Callithrix jacchus: one gene and its partner. The protein of the gene in region 1 binds, or shares a complex with, the protein of each later gene. Links are inferred from orthologs where the notes say so. Each region holds a gene or a part of one and is shown in the gene's direction. Other genes may lie near its edges.

Region 1 (4,549 bases):
GGTCTCGATCTCTCGACCTCGTGATCCACCCGTCTCGGCCTCCCAAAGTGCTGGGATTACACCCTTGAGCCACCGCGCCCGGCCAAGTTTTAATTTTTTTGTATAGACACAGGCTTCCCTGTATTGCCCAGGCTCAAGCAATCCTCCAAGTTGGCCTCCCAAAGTGCTGGGATTACCAGACGTGAGCCACTGCACCTTGCCTCAGGCTGGAGTTCCAGGGAAAGATCTTGGCTCACTGCAACCTCAGCCTCCCAGGTTCGAGTGATTCTTCCACCTCACCCTCCTGAGTAGCTGGGATTACAGATGCCCACCACCACACCTGGCTAATTTTTTTGTATTTTTCGTAGGGATGGGGCTTCACCATGTTGGCCAGGCTGGTTTTTGTAGGGTTGGTGCTTCACCATGTTGACCTTGTGATCCACCAGCCTAGGCCTCCCAAAGTGCTGGGATTACAGGCGTGAGCCACTGCACCTGGCCTCACCTGGCCATTAACGTGTTTAAAATAGCAAGAAACTAGGGGCAAAAAGCACAAATTCATGTTTACATGTAGTCAGTCAATAAATATTTATCGAATGAATGAATAAATTAATGGCAGGTGTACCAGACCCTGGTAGGTGAGAAAGTTAGTCGGAGGTAGTGCTTGTTCTCCGTGCGTTCACAAGGTGGAATCAGGGAATTCACCTTGGACGGGCTCACGTTTCCCTCTCCTAGCCCCTATGCAGCCTGTTCTCAGACTTGATTCGTTCTGAGGGGCTCTTGGCTGCCTCACACCAACAGCAGTGGTCAGTGGAGACCGGCGATGGTCTCCTGACATGTTGGTTTGTGAAGACCAGCGCTCGAGTCAAATTCTGGGAAGATCGGGAGAGCATCCGCTTTAATTTACTAAATTTATTAGCGGCGTCTCTATTCATCTCCGTGTCTGCAACATCCAGCACAGGACCTGGCCCATGGTAGGTGTTTAAAAATGCTTGCGGAAAAGATCAAATGACCAAGCCTCGTGCAGTGCTGCCCGTCAGCTTCTCAACCAGTCGCTCTTTACATCTGATTGACATCTTAAAGCAGCCTGGCAGGTAGGTCTCCATCATTTTCCCATCCCACATCGGAGGCGCTGAAGCCCAGGCGTGTTTCCCGAGTCGCCCGGACCCACCGGGCCCTCGCTGCAGTGTGAAACCACAGCGGCAAAGTCTGCCCGCTGGACGCTGCGCCGGGGCGTCCCCAGGTGCGGCAGGCAGCGCTCAGTAAGTGGGTCCTGGAGGGAAGCGCGTCCTTCTGAACCCAGATCAGGCCCGGGGAGACTCTGGGAGCGACGCGGAGGGCGCAGTCGGGGCCCCAGGCGGTGGCTGAAGCCTTGGCTCGCTCTGCCGCAAGATGGGAATCCAGAGCCTCCAGCTCGGGAGGGACCTGACGTGCCGGACTGGTCCGGCTCAGAACCCGAGGCGCGGCGGACTGACGCTCGGCAGAGGCCTCCGCTGTACCTGCAGCTGTGGGAGGAGACTGGGGACCCCGCGAGCACCTGAGCTCCCACCTGTGGCTCATCCCGGGGACGCCGCCCCCAACCTGGGCGTGGAATGGAAGGGCGGGGCTCCGTCACGTTCAGCCAATCAGCGCCCTGAAGCCGCCGGCCGCCCCCTCCTGAGGAGACGGCACTTGCGCACTCGGGCCGCAGAGCTCCTCGGGCCCCGCCCCCGGGGCAGTGCTGACGCTCGCGCCGACGCGCCCGACGTCGGGCACGTTGACGCCGGCGCCGCGCAGCCGGGCCCGCTCCTCCTCCGCTCCGCCAGTGTCCGGCCGCGGGCCGGCCTTAGTGACTGGGGCGGCGGGCCCCGGGGCCGCGGCGTGGGGCGGGCAGGCTGACGCCGGCCGCGGGCTGCCTTCGTCTGTTCTCAAGCTCGCCTGGAGCGAGCAGCCGCCCGCGAGCCGCCGCAGAGCCTCCTCGTCCGCTCCCGCCGGCGAGCAAGGTAAGGGAGCGGGACACTGAGGCAGACCCGGGGCCCAGGCGTTCCCGGCGGGTCCCGATCCCCGCGGCGGCCGCGCAGCCGATTGGATGTCTTGGCGGGGAAGGGTGCGCTCCGGGGCGGGCGGGGGCGAGGCGGTAGGGGAGCTCCGGCGGGACCCCCGCGCCCCGAGGGACGGCTCCGGGGGCTGCGTGACGCCCCTGCCCGAGCCCCGCGCCCCGTGACCCTGGCGCTGGGGCGAGGGGCGGGGACCTGCGGCCGCTGAAAGCCCCGGCCCGGGCGGGCTCTGCTGTCAACGGTCCTCACCCCCGGGGTCCTGGGCTCCCGCCGCATCTGCTACAGGAGGGGAAGGAGTGCGGGCGCGAGCAGGCTGGAGGTAACCATCCGCATCAGGTGCGCGGTCTTGGGCATCCTCCTCTCGGGGGTCCACCGCACCCCGAATACTTGCCTTAAGGCTCAGAAGCGACTTCCCGTTCCCCTCCCGCCGTCTTTAGATTCCAGACACTTAATAGTCTCTCATAATCTCACCTTTCACTTTTCCTTCTTTCCTAGCCGCCCCGGGCTGTATCGACCTGCTATATTTCCATTGTGGAATTTTTTTTTTTTTTTTTTTTCCGGTTGTAAACTTACGTAAGTTAGGTTGACTGACCAACCGTTGCAGCCGTTGAAAAACACTTCTACCAGCGTGTAACGAATTCAGTTCTTTTTAGTGCTCACCGAATCCAGCCCAAGAATTCAGGGAGCCGGCCGTTCTTCCCGGGAGCTGACCGCACACATTCCTGCAAGATGCCTGATGGATTTTGTACTTGTCAGTTTTGTTGGCTGTGTGCTCCTTCTGTGCTTTTCCTGAAAAATGATTGGGTGACATGTGTTTTGACTTTCTCTCCCCCCACTGGGAAGTAGAAAAAACAGGTAACAGAAGCACACTTGTTTTCCACGAAAACGTACAGCTTTGCTAAAAGACCACCCCAGGGTTTGCCTTTTTTGTTGTTGCTGTTAGGGCAGTCCTCTGGGATCCTGACTCCCTCCCTGGGTTTTTGTCCGTGTTGATGTCTTCATGTCGTGTATTTCTGCACTTAATATTTGCCCCGTGTGTGTATGTTCTCAGCTTCTTTACATACAAAGCATACCAGTTCTGAGAATAATGCGGCTGCCCATCTTTTTAGCTACAGATACTGTGGGAACCTGTATTCGCACTTAGTGACCGTAGCTTGGGGCCTTGATTTCCAGATGATGTGCGAGGTGATGCCGACCATCAGCGAAGCAGAAGGTCCCCCTGGAGGAAGCGGAAGCCATGGGTCTGGCTCCCCTTCACAGCCGGACACAGATTCACATTTCGAACAGTTGATGGTCTCCATGCTAGAAGAAAGGGACCGTCTTCTTGACACACTGAGAGAGACTCAAGAAACGCTGGCATTAACCCAGGGGAAGTTACACGAGGTTGGTCATGAAAGAGATTCCTTGCAGAGACAGCTCAACACGGCACTTCCGCAGGTATGAGTGCTTTTAACCTGGAACTCTATAGATGCTTTGTTAATGTTTCAGATGAGCATTTTCCGTAACCATTTGTGAAATGATGGTTTCTGGTGTTTGTAAGTCAAATACAAAGTTCCTAGGGATTAAACCTCTTAGGGAGAACAAACTGTTGTACTCTAAAGTCCTGTGAAAAGACCTCATTATTTTCATTCCTGTCTTTGGGAACTGCCTGGGTTCAGGAAGTTCGTTCTCCAGAGTTGTTGAAAAACGGCTCTGAAGCCGCAATCTATACGGTGCCTCTGTTCTGTTGTCTTAGCCTTTTCTTCCTAGACTTGTTCTTCCCACGGATTGTGTCTCTCATGTATTTCCAATTTCCTAATGAAATTTCATGGACAAATAGGATTGATTTCACAGAAAAAAATATTTTGATAGCCCACCTTTTTCAGAACACCTAGGTTTTTGTAAGTCACATTTGTTTTAGGGGATAGAAGACTGGAAATTGATTCCCTTAGAAACTTTTTCCTTGGCAGATGAGAATTTTAAAGCTTAGGCCGAATGTGGTGGCTCATGTCTGTAATCCCAGCACTCTGGGAGACCGAAGCAGGTGGATCACCTGAAATCAGGAGTTCGAGACCAGCCTGGCCAGCATGGCAAAACCAAAAACACAAAAATTAGTGGAGCATGATGGCACACACCTGTAGTCCCAGCTATTCTCGAGCTGAGGCATGAGAATTACTTGAACCCGGGAGGAGGAGGTTGCAGTGAGCCAAGATTGCACCACTGCTTTCCAACCTGGGTGACAGAGCTAGACACTGTTTCACTGTCTCAAAAAAAAAAAAAAAAAAAAAAGGTTTTTAAAGCTTAGAACAACTGAAATTGTTTCTCTGAGTATATAACATTTGGACCAGTGTTTGAAAGACTTTGCTCATGGAGTTGAATGAGGATGAATTAGTGGTAGGTAAACGGAGGAGGGGTAAAAACTAGAAAAGTGTGAGGTGAGTGGCGCGGAGCACAGTAGGAGAGAAGTGGGTTACTTAGGTGGTTCAGAGCCCTCTAGGTGCCATGTCACTTACCACAGGTGCCTTCGCGGTGCCTTCAGGTAGACCTGCGTAATCATA
Region 2 (3,809 bases), on another chromosome or scaffold:
ATTATCAGTTTGTTATTATCATATCCTATTATTATTATCATAATCCTAAAGTCATCTGACCCAACCCTCCTACACTATTTCTAGTAAATCTTTCCTTTCAGAGTATTTGTATTGATATCATGTAAATCTAGATTGGATTTAAAGCCAGTTCTCTTTTATCATCCCCTTCATGTTGAATAACATGTAGCTGCTGTCTCTCATATGCTCATGTTTGAAAACCCCTGCAAGGATGCAGATTGTATTTCTGCACATTGATGTTGCATAAGGAGTTGGCTCCCACGGACTGCACCCCAGAGAGGTAGAGAGCACTGATATTGGGATGCCTGAAGCCTGGATTTGAGTACCAGCTCTATCACTCACTAACTTGGGCAAAATGGAGAAAAGATATATAAATTAAAGATCGAAGTCCATACCCTGTTTACCTCACCAGGCTGTTGAGAGGATCACTGGAGATCACCTAAGTGAAAGAGCTTTGCAAATTATAAAGCACCATACAAACATGTATGATTTATGGTGACTTTTGACGAGCTTAATTTTTTTTAACAGGTTCTAGAACCTCGTTTTAATGTAGAAACAATGGCTCAGTTATTGAACATCCCACCAAATAAGACTTTGCTGCGAAGACATTTGGCCACTCATTTCAACCTTCTGATCGGGGCTGAGGCCCAGCACCAGAAGCGAGATGCCATGGAGCTGCCAGATTATGTCCTTCTAACAGCTACTGCCAAAGTGAAGGTTGGTGCAGGCTCATACGGTTTAATAATTGCTTGGCGCAAAGGCCACATTGTATCAATTACCTGGTTATTCTGTTTTCTGGGATATACTAAGTTTTGTGGATGGGTTGCTTTCCAGCAAATGCAGGAATCCTCAGTGCTTAGTTGTCTCAGGAGCAAGATGTTGGCTGGGAGACAGTTCACAGATAGCAGAGAGCTTTATTGAAGGGAAATAGGGAGCAAAGAGCTTATTGTAGGAAAAAAAAAAAAAAAGTACACGAGCTGTTCCTGCAGGGAAAACAGCAGGGTCACAGTAACAATGTTTATTTAAAGGGACAGTGTACTCCGGAAACCATGGCACAGTGGGCTGCTGAAAGAGAATGAACCCAAGAGTTATGTGTTGGGTTTTTATGATGTCCAATTTTTTTCTTGAAGCTCTCGCCTCTGTGTTAAGTCTCTGTCTTTTTCATCTCATTTTCCCGCTCCTGCCTTAAGTCCTCACCTTTTCCCTGCCTAGTTCCCATCCCAGGTTTGTAGGACCCTCCCTTACTATAGTTGGTACGCATGCGTGGGTTGGGTATTGGCTACAGTTCTACCTAAAAGCTGCATTGCTCATTCCCGCCGCCCTAAAATGGTTGTGTAGCAGTGAAATCTATATGTGTTGTACCTGCATTTCTCTTAGGAATTTCTCCTTTGCCTTCTTCTCCTCTTTATCAGCATGCAGCTAGCTACATTCTGGCAGGTAAACTGCAGAGTGAGAGATTACTGGGCATCTTAAGGGGCATTTCTTTCTGCATAGGTGTTTCTCCTCCTCTCTGCTCATATCTAGCATGCATGTTTTGGGTGGTTTCTGGGGTATGAGATTTTCCAGACCTCTCTTTTCTCAGGGGCTTCCCCTCATGTCTAGCTATCTGCCTATTCTGACAAGTTGAAGGAACAGTTGACCCTTGAAGAACATGAGTTTGAATTGCACAGGTCCACTCCTACTTGGATTTTTTTTTTTTTCCAAGCAAATGTGGAGGGATGCAAAACCCACATATAGAGAGGCCCGACTTTTTAGGTACACAGGTACTGCTGAACCATGTACGGATGTTGGTATACATGAGGGTCTTGGAACTAATGCTCTGTATTTACTGAGGGATAACTAAGTATATATCTTTTAAAAGTGTAATAATTAAGGTAATGCACCCAGATAGCTCAGTCAGTAAAGCGTCAGACTTTTAATCTGAAGATCCAGGGTTCATGTCCCTTTTTGAGTGCTCCTTCTTAGGTGGGCATGGTGGCTTACACCTGTAATTCCAGTGCTTTTGGAGACCAAGGCAGGAGGATCACTTGAGCCCAGGAGTTTGAGGCTGCAATGAGCTATGATTGAGCTGTGAGCATGCCACTTCACTCTAGCCTGGGCAACAGAGCCAGATCCTGTCTCTCAAAAAATCATAATGAGGAGCATGATGTTGAGCTTCCAAAATCCATGCATTGGTAGTGCAGAGAGCCTGTAACCATTGATTGCAGTTGCTCTGTTTTTATAAGTCAAATATAGAAGAGAGATTTCTCTTGTACAGATTCAGCTTGTCTGGCTTATGATTTACCAGCCTTGTAAACAGGAAAAGATACTTAAGAAATGATTCAAAGTGAACCAGAAAAGAATGGATATTTCCTAATTTACCTGGATTTATGGATTATACCAAATTCAGATTACTTTTTCTTCTTTTAAATGTATCCTAGATTAACTCTTCTAAATATGTTATCTCAACCAACTTGATGGGTTATCAGGTCCTCCAGAAATTTGTGCCAAGTTCTTTTTAATTTTTTTTTTTTACTTTTTTTTTTTTCCTATCTGCCTGAGTCATCCAATGACCAAGGTGGAGTTTCTCTTCTAAGTGTTGCTGAAGTTTTCTCTCCAAAAAATTATTTTAGCAATTACCAGTTCTATTATGGAAGCAGAATAGGCACACAAGATAACCATAGCCTCAGCCCAAGAAAAAATAGAGTAAGGTCCATTTTATTTTGCTAATCTTAGATTGAAAAACCTTGCAAAATTGGACTTAGCCCTGAGAAATCCGTTGCATTAAGGCATGTCTAATCAAAACTATGAAGCCAGGTGCAGTGGCATGTGCGTGTAGTACCAGCTACTCCAGAGGCTGAGGCAGGAGGATCTCTTGAGACCAGGAGTTTGAAGCCAGTCCAGACAGTGACTATCCAGCCAGTTGACATGAAGAAGAATAAGATTAATTTTCTGAGATTCATAACAAGGGTCATTTATCATTGCATCATTTGTATGCCTAGGATGCCCTTTCTTTTTTATACAAATTTAAACATCCAGTTACTTTTCTTTCTACATGGGGTAAAAAATTAAATTAGACATGTAGGGAAGAGGGATGATGCAAAAAAAATTACATGTTATCAGTCCTTTGGAATTTTATCAGATCCTTTGGATGTTTTTGTTTGCTTTTCTTTCAAAGCCAAAGAAACTTGCCTTTAGCAATTTTGGGAATTTGAGAAAGAAGAAACAGGAAGATGGTGAAGAATATGTTTGTCCGATGGAATTGGGACAGCCATCAGGAAGTGCTTCTAAGAAAGGATTTAAAGCTGGTTTGGATATGCGCCTGTATGACGAAGATGATTTGGACCGGTTAGAGCAGGTTAGTCCAACACAGTATACCTTTTTCAAATGTTTCCAGCATTCAGACACTAGACGGGAACTTTGTATGCTGTGTCTGATGGAGGATATTTTTTTCAAGTAACTAAAAATACAGATATTAATAAAAAATAGTGAACACTTAGAGATGGCTTATATGTTCCAGGTACCATCCTAAGCACTTAACGTATGTTTATGGTAACCTTAAGACATGGAGAGTGTTGTTATTCTCATTTTGGAGATAAGGAAACTGAGACACAGAGAGCTAAGTAACTTGCCCAAGGTCTTCAACCTGTCACTCTGGCTCCAAAGCCTGTGATATTTACCTATGTTTTGCCATCTCTGTATTGAAACATGTTAGGAATGGACAGGTTATTCTACCTAGCCTTTTCAGATTCAAGTTGTGGGACTACATATTTCCCCTCTAATCAACAATCCTTTGGTACTGTTAGCAAAGG

Evidence for each region.
Region 2: PPFIA1 (region 1) and PPFIBP1 share a complex: the UniProt entries of both Homo sapiens proteins name them as parts of the cortical microtubule stabilization complex. The link is inferred for Callithrix jacchus from reciprocal best matches to the Homo sapiens genes PPFIA1 and PPFIBP1.

The regions. Positions count from the first base shown.
Region 1 is NC_133511.1:127,207,661-127,212,209, forward strand, and holds the start of PPFIA1 (liprin-alpha-1), read left to right. Parts: upstream 1-1,725; 5' UTR 1,726-1,958; intron 1,959-2,183; exon of another isoform or gene 2,184-2,348; intron 2,349-2,653; exon of another isoform or gene 2,654-2,867; intron 2,868-3,185; coding exon 3,186-3,449; intron 3,450-4,549. UniProt on the Homo sapiens protein: May regulate the disassembly of focal adhesions. May localize receptor-like tyrosine phosphatases type 2A at specific sites on the plasma membrane, possibly regulating their interaction with the extracellular environment and their association with substrates.
Region 2 is NC_133510.1:43,539,132-43,542,940, reverse strand, and holds part of PPFIBP1 (liprin-beta-1), read left to right. Parts: intron 1-546; coding exon 547-735; intron 736-3,175; coding exon 3,176-3,355; intron 3,356-3,809. UniProt on the Homo sapiens protein: May regulate the disassembly of focal adhesions. Did not bind receptor-like tyrosine phosphatases type 2A.